Mus musculus: one gene and its partners. The main gene of each other region encodes a partner of the protein of the gene in region 3 in a complex. Links are inferred from orthologs where the notes say so. Each region holds a gene or a part of one and is shown on either strand. Other genes may lie near its edges.

Region 1 (5,764 bases), on a different chromosome or scaffold from region 3:
TTTTTCGAGACAGGGTTTCTCTGTGTAGCCCTGACTATCCTGGAACTCACTTTGTAGACCAGGCTGGCCTTGAACTCAGAAATCCGCCTGTCTCTGCCTCCCAACTTTCCCAAATTTTTATTTCTCCTGTCTTATCTCCATGTCTACTTTTATTTTTATGTAAATACTATACATTCTATTTATCTTGGCTTTTAATATTTTCATTCTGAAAATAATAATGAATTTATGTTATTTATTCCCCTAGATTATAGATCATGTTTTCTTCCCTTAGTTTTGCTTCTGTAATCATTGATCACATGTACACACATTTATTTTTATGTATATATACACACACACACACACACACACACACACATATATATATGCCCATATGTGGATTCTTCTTCTGTTGCTCTCTGTAACTCTCCCGTTCTTTGAGCTATTCCTTATCAAAATAGCTGGTTCTATCATTCCATAATTATTATTTGATATTTAAATCTAATTTTTACTCATCATAAATACATTTTAGTTTCAGGTTTTTTTTTAATTACTCTGGCCAACTCAATCCTGAAATCTTTATAAAAAACTTAAACATAGAGGGTTTTTGTTTGGTTTGGTTTTGGGGGGGGGTTGCTCAGAACTTGGGGAAATGTAATGTGGTCTTGTCCTGGATGACTTTTAGGGTGTGAGCTTTCAAGGAAGATCATTTGTGATATTTAAACTATTCCTCACAGCACGGAACTCAGTTGCTCTTACATTGGAATGTTTTCCTTTCAACTTCTGTTATTTTAAATCGCTATGTCCACTTTATTATCGAGACCACAGTTTCTCAGTCATGTGATCCCTGCAGTAAAAAAGAACAGTAACCTAGGCGTTATTAGGTGAGTAGCTGGGGCTCTCCCCGGCTGCGGTCACGTGAAAGCCACGTCATCTCCAGAATCTCAGCATCAAAAGCTGCACAGCGAGGGATGTCTGTGGGTTGCTCTGTTCCTAGCAGTCTCTGGGTGGGCTTTGCTCTCAGCATCTTAGGATGGTACGCATTGAGGTTGGAATGGGACACTAGATCCGAGTTCTTGCCGTTCACATAAGGGAATGGTAGGACTTGAAAAAGACAGAGACCAGAGTGGGTATCGTTTCTCCTTTTCTTCTTATTCTGTTGTTATCCTAACTTCTGCTTACCGCATAAGACTTGTCACAAACTTTTGTCAAGTTCAGCAGAATCGCTTCCAAATGTCCCAGCTTCCATTTAAAAACAAGCAAACCAAAAAATCAAATCAAATCAAATAAATAAAAATGGAGGAGGCTGAAGAGATGATCGGTGGTTGGGAGCAGTGGCTGCGCTTCCAGAACCCTGCTCTACCAGGGTTCAAGTCCCAGCACCTACATGGCAGCTCACAACTGTCTGTAACTCCAGTTCCAGGAAATCTGACACCATCCCACAGACACGCATGCAAGCAAAACAGCAACACACATAAAATGAAAATTAATCATTTTTAAAGATATAAACTGTTACTACATCCAGTAATGTTTGGGAATTTAAAATCAAGAGAGAAATTTAGAAGAGACAGCATAGGAATTAAGAAGCCATATGGGAAAAAAATAAAATGGCTAAAGACTAATATTTTTAATGTAATTGAAAATGAAAAAATTAAACCCGAAAGGTAAGCATCCCCCTGGCCGTGGGGGTACATGCGTTGTAATCCCAACATTTGGTAGACTGAGGCAGAAGATCTCCAGTTTGAGGCCAGCCTGGTCTATATAATCTAACTTCATCTCAGAAAAAAACAAAAGAAAAAAAAAGTGACCCTTGATCCATATGCTAAATGATATGGAAGAGGCATTTGTAAACAGGTCTTGTCTTTACCATCACACAGTTTAGGGCCACTATAAAAATTACAACCTAAGATTACATGTGCCTCCTCATAGGACATGTCAGAAAAAAATCAACCACACACTTCTACATTCATGTACATGAGTCAGCACACACATGTACAAGTGAGAGACCAAAGAATCAGTTTCTTCGAGGATTATAAGAGACTGTTTTAGATATAGTGCATTGAGGTTAACCTTGAGGAGTAAGTATTTTAATGGGTAGAATTTTAGTGTAGGGCATGGAAGAAGCCATTCTAGGGGCGTATTTCTAAGTGGAAACCATTAGCCCTGCTTAGGAATATAAAGCAGCATTGATCTGAAGGGATGAGACGTGGGCAGAAAGGATGCATTTGTCCGAGTGCTCAGAACTAGGGAAGGATCTCACCGACCAGGAGGGCAGACTGCAGAGAACTTCACTGTAGAAGATAGAGAAGTCCGTCTGGCTTTGGGTTCTAGATGCAATTTTAGCAGAATAATAAGAGCAGAAGACGAAATAACCCCAAACCATGAAGGAGAGAATTAAGAATGATTGTTCAAGATGGGCTTGGTGACACACACCTTTAAGCCCCTCTCTCAGGCGGCAGAGGCAAGAGTTTGAGGCCAGCCTGGTCTACAGAGGGAATTTCAGGAAAGTCAGGGCTACACAGAGAAACCCTGCCTCAAACAAACAAACTAAAAAGAATGACTGTTCAGAGCAATAAGCGCCCAAAGTTGGAAAAAAAATTGGATGAAAACTTGGTATTCCTTACATTGAATCTTCCTTAAGTTAAAAGTTAAAAGTGGGGACTTGAGTTGAAACAGCAAGTTTAGAGAGTACTATGTGCTAGGTCCACAACTGCCACCCTTGGTGGCTTTCTTGTAAACTTGCTACTAGCCAGAGTTTCTGGAAAGAGGAACCTCGATTGAGAAAGTGCCTCCACCAGATTGGCTTGTAGACAAGGCTGTGGGTCATTTTCTTGGTTAACATTGACTTGGGAGGGTCAAGCCCAGTGTTCTCTCTGGGCAGGTCCTGGGATACTTTGAAGAAGGCAGTGTGGGTAGACATGAGATGCTACCCAGTGAATAGCATTCCTCTGTGGCCTCTGCTTCAGTTTCTACCTTCGAGTCCCTCCCTGCCTTGGCTCTGACCTGGAATATGTAGGAAATAAACCCTTTCCTGTCCAAGTTGCTTTTTGGTCAGTCTTTATCACAGCAATAGAAAGCAGATAATATACTATTTAAATGCCCTAAATTAGGTAAAAGCAATCCAATGTCTGTAGTTAGATCACTTTATAAACAAAATATGCTTCACACACACACACACACACACACACACACACACACTAAAATATCAATTTCAGATGGGCAGTGGTGGAGCACACCTTTAATCCCAGCCCACGGGAGGCAGAGGCAGGCAGATCTCTGAGTTTGGGGTCAGCCTAATTTACAGAGCAGGTTCTAGGACAGCCAAGGCTACACAGAGAAACCCTGTCCTGAAAAACAAAACAAATATACATATGTGTGTGTACCTATGCATGCATGTTTTTTTATTAGATGAGAACATTTTGGAAGTCAGTTGCATTCAAAGTGACTAGGGCAAGTACTGCTGAACTGTGCACTGGAAATGGTCAATTAAAAAGGCTGACTTTATGCTACATATGTATTTTATCACCATCAATTTTTAAATATGCATGATATAATTGAAACCCACTAAATTTTGTTTTTAAAATGTATATATACATGCAAAAGATGAATGAAGGAATCCTTGAGGGCCAGCTAATAAGTGCATGCTAAAACTAAGTCCCAAAAGTCACCCTTTGACCTCCATGCACACATGTGCACGCGTGTGCGCGCACGCACACACATACACACACACACACACACACACATACTTTGTCAACTAATTAATGAAAATATGCAGTTCTCAGCTTTTATATGCTATTGTTGGTGTGCTAAAGTTTTGGAAAGTCCTCCAATGATGCCAGATCAGGGAGAGTCTGCCCACAAGTTTTTGTATATTTTCTCACTGAGGCATCTATTCAGTTTGGGCAGCAGACACTGAGCAGAACGTAGCACGGCAATGCTTGGTAGCAATGCCTGTCCGGCCAGCACTCAGAAGACGGAGGCAGGAGAATCATAGCTTCCAGTCAGCCTCTTCTACAATATAGTCAGTTGGAAGTCAGCCAGCTTAGACAACATGGAGAGCCTGTGCCGAAAGCCACTGGGTAAGCCCGAATCTCAGTAGCAGAGAGCTGCCCAGGGTGCGTACTGCAAAAAAAAAACCTCAAACAACAGAAGTAGGGAGGTGTAAAATAAAGTGTAGGGGGGTGGAATTTAAGCTGATGTGGACTTCCAAATAAAGTTACCTTTTAGATACCTATTTAAATCAATAGCATAGACCTGAAACTGTCTATCAGAAAATGTGTCTATTCTGAGGAAGGAGTGCTAACGAGGTTCTGTGAGGGGGGCCTCTGGCTTTGAGAGGGTGTACCATCACATAAGACTCCTAAAAGCACATACTTTTATAAATTCACCATGAGCTTTAACATCTTCTTTGTCATTTCGCAGACTGAGCCATGGAGTCTTTCGATGCTGACACCAATTCAACTGACCTACACTCACGGCCTCTGTTTCAACCCCAAGACATTGCCTCCATGGTCATTCTTGGTCTCACTTGTCTATTGGGACTGCTAGGCAATGGGCTGGTGCTGTGGGTAGCTGGCGTAAAGATGAAGACGACCGTGAACACAGTCTGGTTCCTCCATCTCACCCTGGCCGATTTCCTCTGCTGCCTCTCCTTGCCCTTCTCCTTGGCTCACCTGATTCTCCAAGGACACTGGCCCTATGGCTTGTTCCTGTGCAAACTTATCCCATCCATCATTATTCTCAACATGTTTGCCAGTGTCTTCCTGCTTACTGCCATTAGCCTGGACCGATGTCTGATAGTACATAAGCCAATCTGGTGCCAGAATCATCGAAACGTGAGAACCGCCTTCGCCATCTGTGGATGTGTCTGGGTGGTAGCCTTTGTGATGTGTGTGCCCGTATTTGTATACCGTGATCTGTTCATTATGGACAATCGCAGTATATGTAGATATAATTTTGATTCCTCCAGGTCATATGATTATTGGGACTACGTGTACAAACTAAGTCTACCAGAAAGCAATTCTACTGATAACTCCACTGCTCAGCTAACTGGACATATGAATGACAGGTCAGCTCCTTCCTCTGTACAGGCAAGGGATTACTTTTGGACAGTTACCACTGCCCTCCAGTCACAGCCATTCCTAACATCTCCTGAAGACTCATTCTCTCTAGATTCAGCAAACCAACAACCCCATTATGGTGGAAAGCCTCCTAATGTCCTCACAGCCGCCGTACCCAGCGGGTTTCCTGTTGAAGATCGTAAATCCAATACACTGAACGCTGACGCTTTTCTCTCTGCTCACACAGAACTTTTCCCTACTGCTTCTAGTGGTCATTTATACCCCTATGATTTCCAGGGGGATTATGTTGACCAATTCACGTATGACAATCATGTGCCGACACCGCTGATGGCAATAACCATCACAAGGCTGGTGGTGGGCTTCCTGGTGCCGTTTTTCATCATGGTAATTTGTTACAGCCTCATCGTCTTCAGAATGCGAAAAACCAACTTCACCAAGTCTCGGAACAAAACCTTTCGGGTGGCTGTGGCTGTGGTCACTGTCTTTTTTATCTGCTGGACTCCATACCATCTTGTCGGAGTCCTGCTATTGATTACTGATCCAGAAAGTTCCTTGGGGGAAGCTGTGATGTCCTGGGACCACATGTCCATTGCTTTAGCATCTGCCAATAGTTGCTTCAACCCTTTCCTGTATGCCCTCTTGGGGAAAGACTTTAGGAAGAAAGCAAGACAGTCTATAAAGGGCATTCTGGAAGCAGCCTTCAGCGA
Region 2 (6,005 bases), on a different chromosome or scaffold from region 3:
GCAAAGCGCAGAGGATGAGCCACAGCCAGGTAGCGGTCCACGGAGATGCAGCACAGGAAGGCGATGCTGATATAGATGTTGCTGTAGAAGATGAAGCCAAAGAGCTTGCAGGAGCCAGGGCCGTGGATCCAGTTGTCATGGTGGAGGAAGTAGTCGACCCACAGCGGCAAAGTGCAGATGTACAGCAGGTCTGCAATGCTCAAGTTCATCAGGTAGACGCCCAGCTCATTGTGTTGGCGCACCTGCCGGTAGGCTGCCCACAGGGCCAGGCAGTTGGTGGGCAGCCCCACCCCGATGACGAAGATGTAGAGAGATGGTGGGAAGAGGTGGTCCACTCGAGAGTCCACATGGCAGCCCTCCCCTGTGCCCGTGCTGTTGTCCATCCTGGGCGATGGGGCTTCCCAGGAGCTTCCCCTGGCCCGCTGGGGCTACAGGGCCACGGGGGGCGGGAGGCCATCAGGCCCCCTGAGCCCCCTCTTTGGAGGCTCAGGGGAACATCACAGGAGACAGTTCACGAGGACTGAGGTCTGGGTTTGCTTTGTGGCAGGCTAAGCAAAGGGAGGACTTGAGAGGAAGAGTGTCAAGGGATGATGAAGGTAAGGATAAGAGGTGGAACTAATGTCAATGGGCTATCTACACAACCAGAGCACAAAGATGGCACCAGAAAAAAAAAGGTCAAGGCAGTGTTTACAGAGGAGATGAAGACACCAGCGGTGTCATGCTTATTGAAATCTTAGGAAGTCAATATGGACATGGTGAAGTACCAATGGGATGGAATGTTCTAGAAGACTAAGGAAAGACATGGGAGCATGGAGAGAAGTCACAGAGTTGGCAAGATGCAATTTTAAGAGTGCTGGCATCTGCTAGGACACCAGCTGGAAAGAGAACTATGTAAAGTCACCAAAGCAGGAAAAAAAATGAGGTGTCCTCTGGGGACAGACAAAGAGGAAGGACTTGTAAAGGCTGGTGACTGTGGGAAGGGATGCTAGGAAACAGGAAGGTGAGTAAGTGGTGGAGCACAGGATTGTGTGTAGGAGGGGGACTCTGAAGGGGGTTCCAGGAGACTCAGAGTTGATCCTGGTGGAGACTGAGGAGTGGAGATGAAGTTGTTCCACTCACGACTGCATTGAGAGCTGAGATTGCTAGGCCTGAGGGGAGAAAACACATTAGAGAAACTGGCATGGATGTCCATACTGACCTCCCCAGTACCTTCCGTTATTACTGTGGAAGACAGAGGAACACCCCAACAAAGCCTGCTTGAGTATCACCCCAAGGAAGAGATGTCTAAGAGCATGGGGTTGAGGGTGCCAGGCAATAGACGGGCTTTCCAAATACAAGTTAAAGATACAACGGGGGCTGGAGAGATGGCTCAGCGGTTAAGAGCACTGACTGACTGCTCTTCTGAAGGTCCTGAGTTCAAATCCCAGCAACCACATGGTGGCTCACAACCATCTGTACAGCTATAGTGTACTGGTATACATAAAATAAATAAATAAATCTTTAAAAAAAACCCAACAACAAAAACCCAACAGGTTGGCACGTGTCTTTGAACCCAGAAGGTGGAGGCTGGAGAATCAAAATCATCCTCCAGTGCACCTTGGGTTGGAAGCTGTGAAAACCTGTTTCTAAGTAAGCAATGGATGGTGAGCGGTGTGGAGATGGCTCAGTGGGGAAAGGAGCTTGCAGCCAAGCTTTACAACCTGAGTTTGATTCCAGGAGTTCACACCATGGAAGAAAGGAACCAATTCTATAGGTTGTCCCCTGACTCCTGCATGTATAACATAGTAAGCAGAAGCACTCACATGCGTGCGCGTGAACATACACACCACACTCATACATTCACATACAGAAAGAAACAGCAGATTCAGAGATTTAACAAACTGAAGCAGTGGACCACTCAGATCTGTCCAAGGTCCTGATGCCCAAGGTGGGAAATCTCTGCCCTCAGTCCCCTTTCCCAAACAGCCCATTTCCCAGAGCCCCACGGCCATAAAAGGGCCTCGGGGTTGACAGTGGGACAGAGCAGGAGCTGTTAGACTCTGAAAAGGAGCCTGGGGTTGGTGCCAGCAGTGGGAGAAGCCCTCACAGGCTTCCCTCTCCTTTCCCACTGTCCAGTGAGGTCCCAGAACCCTTATTCTGAGAAGATCTACAAGTTTAAAGCAAAGAACACCCCAAAAGATAGAGGAGGGCTGGAGAGATGGCTCAGCGGTTAAGAGCACTGACTGTTCTTCCAGAAGACCTGAGTTCAAATCCTAGCAACCACATGGTGGCGCACAACCATTTGTAATGGGACCTGATGCCCTCTTCCAATGTGTCTGAAGTCAGCTACAGTGCACTCATATACATAAAATAAATCTTTAAAAAAAAAGGTAGAGAACAATCATGCCCCAAACCCCTCACCTGATGACTGGAGGGTCTGTATATATTTAGTTTACTCGGATATAAACCAATCTTGCTCCCTCTCTCATGTAGTCCAGGCTGGCTTTGAACCTGGCATGTAATTGAGGATGACCTCAATGCTTCAGCCTTGTGAGTATTGGGATGCCAGGAGTGCTCCACCATGCACAGTTTACACAGAGCTTGGATTGTTATCCTGGGTCCCATGCATTCAAGGAAGGTGCTGTAACAACTGAGCCACATCCCCTACATATGTTGGTTGGCTTGATGAATTTTTGTGGCTGGATCTTACTATGTAGCCCAGACTTTTCTGAAACTTGTGAGCATCCTTGCTTCCTAAATGGTGAGACTATAGGCAGGCACCACTAGACCCAGCTTCAAAGCATTTTAAACTCAGGAGGCAAGCTGATATCTGCAGTTGAGGCTAGCCTGTTCACAGAGTAAGTTTCAGGACAGTCAGGACTACAAAGAGGCTTATTTTGAAGGAAAAATAAAGAGAAAGAAAGAAACCCATACAAACAAACAAGATCATACTTGGAAATCCAGTCTAAGACAATGAACAGAGAAAGTGCCACGCAGTCTGGAGAAAAGACACAGAGACTGGGAAGCCACCTCTTAAAAATCCCCAGAACACACTTAAAAGCCCAAGAAGTTGCTTGCTGCTAAGCATCACGCCCTGATTTTATTCCCAATACCCACATGCCAAAAGGAGAAAACTCACTCCCAGAAGTTGTTCTCCACACACATACCAGGGCAATAAATAAATAAATAAGTGTAATTTAAGAGAGAGAAAAGCGAGAGAGGGAGACAGACAGACAGACTGGTTAAAGCATACTAGACAAATGAGGAAATTATAGTCCAGAAAGGGGAAGGGATAAACCTGGAGTCACACAGTAAGCCTAAGAAACTCAAGTCTTTCTTCTTCCCAAGGAAAGTCCTTCCTGCTTTATCTTCAGATAGACCCTGTGTCACTAATCCCTCTCTTGCTGTATGTTACCATCACTGCTCAGGGGCTGTGACAGCATCTGCTCTATCATTCTGCCTCCCTCAATTAACTACAAACAGAGCAATCAGGAGACCTTCTAGGGGAATCTGCTCTTGTTCTTTTCTTCTTGAACTTCCAAAGGCTTCCAAGAGTCCCCCTATCTAGAATTTCCCAGTGAGGAGCTGGGGGCGTGGCTCAGTGGTAGAGCCCCTGCCTAGAATCCCCCAGTGAGGGACTGGGGGTGTGGCTCAGTGGTAGAGCCCCTGCCTAGAATCCCTCAGTGAGGGGCTTGGGGTGTGGCTCAGTGGCAGAGCCCTTGATTACCATGTGCAGGCCCTAGGTCCTTTCTGCATTATTGCAAAACAAAATGAATAGACTTGCCAGAAAATGAAAGCTCCTGGTACCCGGTGACAGGTCCCAGGCCTCTTCCCAGCTAGCCTGTGCTGATTGCCTACTCCTCCTTTCAGCAATCTCCAATCCAGTGAGCTTCTTTCAGTACTCATTCCTCCACACTCTCTCCCTGACTGGCCTATGGTGTCTTCAGCTCCTCTTCCATGTCCTTTTTCACTCCTACCCACCACTCCTACAACCATCTCACAGCACTGTGTTTGTAGCCTGTTGCCTTCTGTCTGTCTGTAACTTCTTCGGGGACAGGAACCTTGAGTGTCAAGTGGGCTGTTGTATTACTCATGTGAGGGACAGTCCTTGCATACAGTAGGTGCTTAACAAGTGCCTGGGTATAGAAGTCATTCCAGAAGCCTAGAGGCTGGGAGAGCCCGCCCAGTGCTTCTCCCACTGGCTGTCCCTTGCCTCCTCCCAGACTCTACCCCAGGCATCAACAAGCCCTGGGGAGCCTGGGGGAAGAGGCTGCAAGCTGCGAGGAGATTAAAGTGCAGGACCCATCTGCTTCCTGATTGACTTGGAAAGGTCAGGCCTGTCCTGATCCCTAAGGCCAGCACCCTGTGGGGAGTCTTTAGACACCTACCATCCCACCCCAGAGCTGGAAACTTCTGGATCCCTTGGAGATGGAATAGGAGGGACTTGTTCCTGGGTAAACCAATGGGAGCCAACCCAGCCTACCATCAATCAAAACCTCTGATCCAGACCAAGTCTTTCCCCTAGTGTCTGTTTCCTCTTTGCCCACCCCCCTCTCTGCTGGCGTGCTCTCTGCTCTCTCTCTCTCTGTCTCCCGCCCTCTTCCTCCCCCCCCCCCTTTTCCTTCAGAAGCCTTAACTTCTGCAAAAGAAGGGTATTGTCTCTACCCTAATCACATCACACATGAAAATCTTTGGTAAAATGAAGCATCTTCAGTCACATATTCAGTATCTGGGCCTGGGGATGCAGCTTACTGATAGAATGCTTACCTAGAGTCTAACAGTGGGTGCTGGGGTGTGGCTCAGCAGAAGAGTGCTTCTCTAGCAGGCACGAGGTCCTGAGTTCAATCTCTCTTACCACAAAAAGGGAACAGAAGGCTAAAAAGAGTGCCAGACACATAGCTCAGTTCATGAAGTATTCGCTTAACAAGCACGGAGCCCTGGGTTGTATCCCCAACACTTCATAAATCAGTCGCATTGGCCCAGGCCTATGATCCCAACAGGTTAGCCTGGGATAAATGAGACCCCGTCTCAAAATTTAAAGAGAAAGAAAGAAAGAAAGAAAGAAAGAAAGAAAGAAAGAAAGAAGGAAGGAAGGAAGGAAGGAAGGAAGGAAGGAAGGAAGGAAAGAAAGAAAGAAAAAGAAAGAAAGAAAGAAAGAGAAAGAAGGAAAGAAAGAAGGAAAGAAAGAAGGAAAGAAAGAAGGAAAGAAAGAAGGAAAGAAAGAAAGAAGGAAAGAAAGAAAGAAAGAAAGAAAGAAAGAAAGAAAGAAAGAAAGAAAGAAAGAAAGAAAGAAGGAAGGAAGAAAGGGTGTAATGGGCTGAGGATATGACTCAGCGTGTAAGCGACTGCTGTGCAAGGTGAGGGAGCACCTGCCTTCAGATCCTCAGCACCCACATAAAAACCCATGAGAGAGAGCTGGCTGCCCCCTGGAGCTCCCTTCTGTGGCCCCCCGGGCCCTGTTGAGACTGGAACAGGTACACAGGCAGCAAAGACATTCCTGCAGCCAACGGAAATGAACTTCCCACTGCCAATTTCCTCTCAGGGAACAGAGTCTGGCATCTACCCTGTCCTCAGCCTACCTGAGTCATGAGGATGCTAGACGTGGGGCAGAGAGGCAGTGACAGACAGACAGACAGGACATCAAACTGACCTTTCTTCTTCCTACCTGACATTTGACTACCACCACAAAACCCCCACCCCAGCCCCAGCCATCATAGAACCTCTGATTCTTAGAATTCCATGATACAGGTTTACATAGTGTGGGAACAGGAAGCTATTTTTTCCCAGGCCATATAGGGAATCTGAGGTCCAGAGAGGAAGGGCTGTTATTCACTATCTGAGATGAACAGTATCTCCTTTCCCGGTGTTTCTTTCCTTTCATTCCTGTCCTAATGTCTTTCTAGGGGCTTCAAACCCCTTTGAGAGTCTGCTAAAAATCAGAAATTGTTATTTATGTATTTTTCAAGACAGAGTTTTTCTGTGTAGTCCTGGCTGAGCTGGAACTCACCCTGTAGATCAGGCTGACC
Region 3 (8,511 bases):
TTTCTACCTGTTTGGCTGTGTTTTCCTGCTTTTTTTTAAGGGCCTGTAACTCTTTAGCAGTGCTCTCCTGTAATTCTTTAAGTGACTTATGAAAGTCCTTCTTGATGTCCTCTATCATCATCATGAGAAATGTTTTTAAATCTGGGTCTAGATTTTCGGTTGTGTTGGGGTGCCCAGGACTAGGTGGGGTGGGAGTGCTGCGTTCTGATGATGGTGAGTGGTCTTGATTTCTGTTAGTAGGATTCTTACGTTTGCCTTTCGCCATCTGGTAATCTCTGAAGCTAGCTGTTTTAGTTGTCACTGTTAAGAGCTTGTTCTTCAGGTGACTCTGTTAGCCTCTGTAAGCATACCTGGAGTGTAGCACTCTCCTTAGTTTCAGTGGGCAGAGTATTCTCTGCAGGCAAGCTCTCTTCTTGCAGGGCAGGTACCCAGATATCTGGTGTTCAAACCAGACTCCTGGCAGAAGTTGTGTTCCACTCACTAGAGGTCTTAGGATCTCGTGTGGAATCCTGTGTGGGCCCTTGCGGGTGTCAGGCGACTCCGCTGGCAAGGTAGCCCGGGGCTCGAGTGGAGCGGAAGGGGTTTGTGCCCCAGATCAAGCCCGGGTATCCTGCTTCCCTATGTACCGCAGTCTCAGGTTCCGCGCGATTGGATTGGGGCAGGCGCTATGTTCCACTCACCAGAGGTCTTAGGATCCCGTGGGGAGTCCCGTGTGGGCCCTTGCGGGTGTTGGGCAAGACTCTGCTGGCAAGGTAGCCTGGGGCTCGAGTCGAGCGGAAGGGACTTGTGCCCCAGATCAGGCCCGGGTAGCCTGCTTCCCTATGTACTGCAGTCTCAGGTTCCGCGCGATTGGATTGGGGCAGGCGCTGTGTTCCACTCACCAGAGGTCTTAGGATCCAGTGGGGAGTCCCGTGTGGGCCCTTGCGGGTGTTGGGCAAGACTCTGCTGGCAAGGTAGCCTGGGGCTCGAGTCGAGCGGAAGGGACTTGTCGTAACAGAGCTTTCTTAAGGTTATACTAAAACTCTATGAATTGTATTCCGAGGCAATTTAAGAAATGTTGATCTAATTAAATGGGTTTTCCCTTTGTTCTTGTTTGATCTCTCTTACGACGTGTCATTATCTTGACCACTCTGCTCTCTGTTCTCTTTCCAGCCAGTGCACTCTGATTTATGCTGTGGTAGGATCCTTTCGTTATAACATACTTTAGTGAGCGGCTTCCAGCCCAACCATAATGACAAAAGTAACAACCTTAGTGGACAAACTCAGATTTGGTTTGTAGGCCACTACTGCTCTGTGGGGAATTAAATAGGAATGGTTTTAATTAGTGTACCATCAAGATAAATGGGGCCTTTAAAACTGTGCCAGTTTACAGAGCGCTTCCATTATATAAGTGGTTATTTCTAGGCTGTATAATGTAGTCTATGCAAATTTAAACTTTTGCTTAACTTTATAAACTCTTGCCAGGAACAAGAAGAAAAGGTCATTGGCATTATGTTGTTTGATTGTGTCCCAGAACCTTGCACATTAGCCTCCAATTCCCCATAATTGTGCCTTATATAAAAATTGAGGAATTTTATTCTAAATTTCAAGCCCCTACCCCTTTCCATTTTATTCTGTAATCCACACAAACCTTTTGGCCCCTTTCTGAATTACTTTATTTCAGAACCGTTTTCTTACCTGTAATTGCTTTTTCTTTCCTCCAACATCTTGCTCTCTGTTTTAAGAGAACTCATTTCTTGGTTGAAATAGGGGAACCCTGTTGTGTAGCACTAATGCCTGGGACTGGCAAGTTCAGTATGCTTCTTTGATCTCTGGCTTCCTTCATTGCTTTGTAGGACTGTCAGTGGTGACAACAGTGTGATGCATTCATCTTCAGCTGCTGTGATGTCCCCAAGTGCTTTCATATGTTTGTTAATGGATGTCTATGCTTTTAAAAAATTAAATTTTCATTTGTTATTATTTGTTTATGTGTGTGTATGCACACAGGATATCACACATACACACATGCCACAGAGTGGGTGTGGAGAGGATCCAGGCGCTGAACTCAGGCTGCTAGGCGTTCTCTGGGCCATCTCAAGGACCCAGATGTGCTGTGTGTGGAGAGTACTTTTGATTTTGCTTTATAGTTACTCTAGCTGTAATCAAATGCTTAATAAGAATGATTTATTAACATTTTTCCCTTTGAGAAAATTAACTGGTAACATTTTTTTTCCTCCCACTATGTCCCTTTTCTCCTTTCTTCCCATCCCACAGCCTCCAAGCTATGTGAAACTTTTTTTTTTTGGCATTACAGAACTCGGAGCTTTTGAACATTTAATGTGGTGTCAAATCGTACATTTTCCTCTTACAGAATGTTTGACGTGGGAGGTCAGAGGTCAGAGCGGAAGAAGTGGATCCACTGCTTTGAAGGGGTGACCGCCATCATCTTCTGTGTGGCCCTGAGTGACTATGACCTGGTTCTTGCTGAAGATGAAGAAATGGCAAGTAGAAGCAGCTGTAGGGGTACAGCCTGAAATGTCCAGAGCTGCACACGTTGCCAAGACCTTAGCTGAGGAGCCTTGAGAAGTCCTTGCTCATGAACGAAGTATTTGCAAGTTCAATTTCTTTGCTTCAGCGCCTCTGCTGCAGCCCAGAGGGCACCGATGCTTAGAAGGCACAGGTGTTTCTCCATCCATCTACCTGGGAATTGCCTGCATCTGCCCAAAGGCTCATATTTCCCCATGAGTTACTCTGTCGGTCTATAATCTTCCTTATATGTTATACTTCTCTAGTTATAGAAAAACAATTTTCAAGTAACATCCAATAAATATACCATTACTCTAGGAAGTATTTTCTAATACATTGAAAACTCTGGCACTTATAAACATATGAAAATGATGGGCAGGTTTCAGGTTTTTCTAAATCAAGTTCATACCGTCATCAGTCATGGGGGGAAATGGGGCATAACATACATTTTTTGCATTTCCCCACTGTAAAACGTGTCAGTGTCCTCTTTGAACACAGCACGAAAGGATAGAAAACAAGAACTGGAAGTCATCTTCTCTAACATCCACTGTGCTGGGCTAATTGGATTTCAGCTCTCTCCATTTGACACAGTGCTCTTAAAGCTTCCACCTACCTCCTAAGCAAAGCTTAGATGGCCTGTGCAGCAGTGACATTTCCTCCATGTGTTCCCATGTGGACATCCCTTGACTGTGACATCCTATAGCTCTCAGGCATGAGCCAGTGATGTTTGAAAGACATTGAACAAGGTGCCCGCTAACATCTATGTTGTGCTTGTCCAGAAATGACAAAGAATGTAGTTAGTATTCTGGAATTATTATCAGCTCTAGAGCACAGATCTGACTAGATAGAAGCCACAACCACTGTACCTGGCCAACTGTCACCTGATAAGTCTAATTAGAAGATGCTGGCCAGGAAGAAGAGGGAAAAAAAATCATTCATTACAGCCTTCCTGGGAGAACAGGGTATCTGCACCCTAGGCTGTTGTTAGAAGCTGAGACGAGCAAAAGAAAAAGCCGGAAGCACTGGGTGTGCATGGTCCTAGTGTCTGGGTCGAACTGTGATCTGGTCACATTGTCACAGCCCTGGTTGTGCAGGGTCTCCAGCTGTTGTCTAGTATATTGTTGTTGCTTGAGGAGAGGGAAGGCATTCGGGTTTTTTCATCAGGAGTTAATTGCTTTCACCCCGGGGCCAGCTTCCCTTCCATCACAGGGAGTAAACCTTTAAGGCTCTTTCTTCTTCACTTTGAAATAAGCCAAAGTGACTCAGACAGAACAGGTTAGAGACAAAATTGGAGTTGAGACACCAACTGGGACATCCTTCAGGGTGTTACGTGCTTTTCAGCTGAAAGGATCTGGCAGTTGCCACATTTGTTCTTTTTAAAACAGATCCTCAGAAACTGCACTGTTCATGAAAATGATTTCTTTTTTTTTTTTAATTACAGAACCGTATGCACGAGAGCATGAAGCTGTTCGATAGCATCTGTAACAACAAGTGGTTTACAGACACGTCCATCATCCTTTTCCTCAACAAGAAGGACCTCTTCGAAGAAAAAATAAAAAAGAGCCCCCTCACGATATGCTACCCAGAATATGCAGGTATTTCACTCTCTTAGAGTAACCTAGCAAATCCTGTGCTTCTGAGTGAAATTCCCCCTATGGCAAGATTTGCAGGTGTTGGTTTGAATTTATTGATATGCTAATTCTTTCACTGGAGGGTGTCATACTTTTCAAACTGCATTTGAGCACAAATAGTCCCTTAAGGTGTGGAGAAGTTTTTCTGAACATCCCTGGTTTGCTTTGTGAAAAGGCTTGGAGGTAATTTCCAGAGATGTCTCCATGTCTCTGTAAATGTAAAGACTGACTTGTTAAAAAAAAATAACCAGATCACAGATTGGATAAACAAGATAAGATCTGTCTCTGCTCACTATCTTCTCTCAAACACATTCATGATAAACAATAGCAGTCACCCTGCTTCTAAGAGGGACCATGAATATTACTGTAAGAAGACAAGTGAAGAGGAGCCAGAGAGGCAGCCACTTCCTCCACGGTGCCAGGGAAACTTTGATAGGAAATCCAGGCCTTAATAGTGAGACTCTCATAGACAATGTACCTCTGTGAGTAAAGGCCTAGCTTTTACAAAATTTGGTCTGTGATCTCAAACAAAGCAGATACTTTATCTATGTTCCAGTGCCTCATCTATAAAATTAGGAACTGGGTTAAAACCTTGGTTTTAATTTGGTTTACTTCCTTGGAGCACATCCCAAGCTGATATTGAAAGCAAGTCTGGTGTTCACACTTATGAGCCCCAGTCTTGGGGGATGAAGAGGAACATCAGTACTTCAAGGCCATCCTGGTCTACATAGAACGTCCAAAGACAGATCAGGGTATATGAGAACCTGTTTCCAAAACAAAAAGTGAATACCAGGACCAGAGCTATCTATCCCCACACACCCTTCCAGTCCTCATATATAAGCAAAGTAAATTGGTTTTCATATATATATTTATATCCATCCTGTTTCTTTAAAATATAAGACTTTCACTGGTTTGTATGAACTCTAAATCTAAAATGTAAATGTTCTTAACCTTTTCCTCATTCTGTTTGAAAAAGCAAAAAATAATTCTCCAGAACTTCTCAAACTCTAAATAAAATTTGAGTCAATGCTGCACTGAACTGGTTGTTGGTGGGCATTGCGTGAATGCTGCTTCCAAGTTGACGCTGAGCAGCCTGTTGGCATTGGTTCTTGGATAGCCCTGCTCAGATATAGTCCATCTTGAGACCCCAGTGCACCACACATCTGCACCTAGGCCTGCACCAAGCAGTTAATTAGGGTCTCAGTGGAAGCAGAAAGGACTTGTTCCTTGGTAAACACAAGACTATTACATAATCATTTGATAGCCCAAGTGCTAAGATTATAATTTCAGATCTGCACTACTTGCTCTAAGAATTGGTTCCGTTGCTTCCTGCATCACCATGAGCACTTGGTTCTTACGACTATGAGCCTTTATGTTTTATGGATAAACCCTGTGTAGCCCCCACCTGCTTGGGTGTATCCTGCCTCTGTCTGCTGACTTGCAAAGCACCTCCTCCTTCTTCATTGTAAGTTGCCATTTCACCGGGATCCATTTCCAGTCCTTTCATGGTCATGCTGGCTGTTGAATTGTGTTGTCAGACCCTGAACATCCCTCTGCAGCCCCTTGCCTCTGTTTCCAACTGTTTCTTGAATGTGGTTTTTAGCACTGAAGCATAAGCCAAGCTAATCTCTCCTTCTCCTTTGACTGTCTCATAAAGTTTCCAGTTTTGAAGTTGCCCTCACTCAATCATATATTCTTTCAGGAAAGTTCCCATGGTAGACAGTACCTATGCTCCCACCATGAATGTGTACACACTGAAACACATATATGCCCCCCCCCACACACACACACACACTTTGTTCTTGTTCAGACTGAAAGTCAGATCAAAGAATGTGTTCACCAGTTTATTCATGGATCTGGAAGCCCCTGGGGCACAGTCATTTAGCTACTCAGAATGTGTATTGCCTATGAGTACTGTACCCAGTACAAATTACTTCACACAAACGCCTTTGTAATTAATTTAGGAGTTATATTCTAATTGCTTCTTTAACCGAACAAGACATTGCATACAAATTTTAGAGCACTGAATGATTGGATTTTTAAAGGCTTATTATTACATAAAACAATTAAAGTAGAAACTCAGTGACGGTGGTTGTATCATTCATGCTGTCTAGCACACTAAACACAACTTCTCTCTGGGCCTTGTCATGTGGCATTTCCCATGCGTTGCATGGTATTTTTATGTATGGTGTGATAACAATGGGTAGGGTTGGCAGGATAGAGTCATTAGAGTCTATCTCAGGATGTGTAATGGTGAAGAAGAATTGAGATCCAGCAAAACATGTAAGAAAACATACAACAAAGCTGAGATACTGTTTGTATTATCTGTCAGAGTTTCTTGTTTTGCGTTGTTTTGTTTTTTAAAGTGGTACAGAACCCATCTGGGTTTGGTTAGTTAGCTGCATATGTATCAAAAGATGGCCTAGTCGGCCATCACTGCAAAGAGAGGCCCATTGGACTTGCAAACTTTATATGCCCCAGTACAGGGGAACACCAGGGCCAAAAAGGGGGAGTGGGTGGGTAGGGGATTGGGGGTGGGTGGGTATGGGGGACCTTTGGGATAGCATTGAAAATGTAAACGAGGAAAATACCTAATTAAAAAAAAAAAAGATGTGGAAAGAGTGAACATCTTGGATGGTGGTGGACTGCAGAGAAGCAGTGCTGTAGAACACAGCAGCACTTTGTATCCTGAGTTGTCATGGTAAACGCTGAGACCCAGTTGTGGAACAGAGCACCTCAGAGCAGAAGCGGGGAGCACAAAGAATCCTGAAAGGCACATGAGTCATTTGGGTTATTATAAAAGAGGGATTTAATAGATTTTTTCTGTTATATGCCATATAATATTTTCTAACAGTATCAAGTGGACAAATATGCAGTTAGCTCTAGTATGAAACATGTTTAGAAAACCACAAACAATCAAATACAGAATTGTGGGGTCCAGCTCCAATTCATGCATCTGTGAATTAGCTCCTGCATCTAAGGCCTGGGGAATGACATGGAAGTGGAGGCAGAACGACTGTAAGAGCCAGAAGATTAGAGTTGGATGTGAGAGTGTATCTCACAGTAATGTCAGAAGCTACGTACAGAGTCTCACATGACTGCCTAGGCATGAGCTAAACAAGGACAACACCAATAGACATCCCAGAGTAGATGAGAGAAAATCCAAGAGGCCTCAATTCTACTCAAAGAGTGACAGACAAATCAGAGATGTGAGAGCAGAAACTTCTCAGGGAGGAGCGCACCAGGTTTCTATCCAATACCTTGGTGAGCCCTGAGAATGCCCACATAAACAACCTGAAACACACTGAGCAGGTTGGAGCTTTGTACACATACTTGTACATGGAGCAGCAGTCAATGAAAAAGGCTGTGAATTTGAAAGAGAGCAAGGAAGGCTATTTGATAGGTGTTCCAAGGCAGGCAAGGAAATGAAAAATGAAGTGATTCTGTTATAATCTCAAAAAGTAAAAAAAAAAAAAAAAAAACACACACACAGACAAAAACCCCCACCAAAAAAAAAAAAAAAAAAAAAAAAAAGCTTATAAAAAGAAAAGGAGGGAAATGAACACACAAACAGGACCAAGTGGCCCTTTATTGCCTGAATCCAGAAACTGAACTTTCCCATCACCCCGAAAGCTCTCCCACCCTCTTTCAGTCTCACCTGATTCATCCCCTGCCCTCATCCCCCTGAAAAATGATCATTAGAGCGGCTGATTTCCTTTTCATTGGTTGGCAACAACAGCTGGGTCACATGTGGTGCATCCGTGTTTATGTTTGGCTCCTTGGGTCCAGAAGAGGATTCAAAGTCCTTGTTTCTGAATGGCAGCTAATGATCTGATTCTCCCAGATTGTCCCTGTCAGTGACAGTGCATGGACTTGCAGGATATTTCCCAACGTAGAAGGCCATGCTGTGCTCTAGCAGCCTTTGGGACTCTTCTCTGACCACAGCACAGTCCTCAAGCCTGCAGCTCAGCATTGGGTCTCTGGGTCAGAGTGTGTGCACGTATCCTCAGGTTCTGCCACCCCATTTCTGAACTGTTCTTACTCGGAGCCAGTCTCTACCCCCTCAAGTAAAAGCTGGATGACCCTCCCCACCCCATTTTTCTCTTTCGATAACTTCATAGCCCTTAACCATATTCCAGATATGAACAAAAAATAATTGTGAAAGGATAATTAATGAGTGAATATGGAGGGAGAGAAGGAAGCATTTGACAGGCATTATTGATTTGCCCTGGGGTTAGCACAGTAACAGTGGGCCAACCTTAGGGTTAGGTGGCTTGAATTCTCCAGCTTAGGGATGTAGAAGAAAGAGTGTGGTAGATAAGAAAGTCTGACTCTTGGAGATTTAAACAGGAACAGCAAACATAGACAACAGAAT

The links. The genes of interacting proteins can lie anywhere in the genome.
Region 1: the proteins of Gnai1 (region 3) and C3ar1 are in contact, whole or in part, in a cryo-EM structure (PDB 9IPV), measured with the Homo sapiens proteins. The link is inferred for Mus musculus from reciprocal best matches to the Homo sapiens genes GNAI1 and C3AR1. Residues at the interface, in NP_002060.4 of Homo sapiens: Glu28, Ala31, Arg32, Glu33, Val34, Lys192, Asp193, Leu194, His195, Lys314, Asp315, Glu318, Tyr320, Lys330, Phe334, Phe336, Asp337, Ala338, Thr340, Asp341, Ile343, Ile344, Lys345, Asn347, Leu348, Asp350, Cys351, Gly352, Leu353, Phe354; in NP_001313404.1 of Homo sapiens: Asn57, Arg120, Val123, Val124, Pro127, Ile128, Gln131, Asn132, Asn135, Val136, Tyr356, Ile359, Arg362, Met363, Arg367, Phe368, Lys370, Gln372, Lys374, Thr375, Val378, Ala379, Leu438, Gly439.
Region 2: the proteins of Gnai1 (region 3) and Gpr4 are in contact, whole or in part, in a cryo-EM structure (PDB 8Z9P), measured with the Homo sapiens proteins. The link is inferred for Mus musculus from reciprocal best matches to the Homo sapiens genes GNAI1 and GPR4. Residues at the interface, in NP_002060.4 of Homo sapiens: Lys192, Asp193, Leu194, Glu318, Tyr320, Thr340, Asp341, Ile343, Ile344, Lys345, Asn347, Leu348, Asp350, Cys351, Gly352, Leu353, Phe354; in NP_005273.1 of Homo sapiens: Asn50, Leu52, Arg115, Ala118, Val119, Pro122, Leu123, Arg124, Arg129, Tyr201, Ile204, Val208, Val212, Ser213, Thr214, Glu218, Lys221, Ile222, Leu225, Asn290.

What each region holds. Positions count from the first base shown.
Region 1 is NC_000072.6:122,849,899-122,855,662, reverse strand, and holds part of C3ar1 (C3a anaphylatoxin chemotactic receptor), read left to right. Parts: intron 1-4,398; 5' UTR 4,399-4,406; coding exon 4,407-5,764.
Region 2 is NC_000073.6:19,216,533-19,222,537, reverse strand, and holds part of Gpr4 (G-protein coupled receptor 4), read right to left. Parts: intron 1,149-6,005; 5' UTR 384-1,148; coding exon 1-383. UniProt on the Homo sapiens protein: Proton-sensing G-protein coupled receptor activated by extracellular pH, which is required to monitor pH changes and generate adaptive reactions. Activated by an optimal pH of 6.8-7.2.
Region 3 is NC_000071.6:18,267,415-18,275,925, reverse strand, and holds part of Gnai1 (guanine nucleotide-binding protein G(i) subunit alpha-1), read left to right. Parts: intron 1-2,350; coding exon 2,351-2,480; intron 2,481-3,946; coding exon 3,947-4,100; intron 4,101-8,511. UniProt on the Homo sapiens protein: Guanine nucleotide-binding proteins (G proteins) function as transducers downstream of G protein-coupled receptors (GPCRs) in numerous signaling cascades.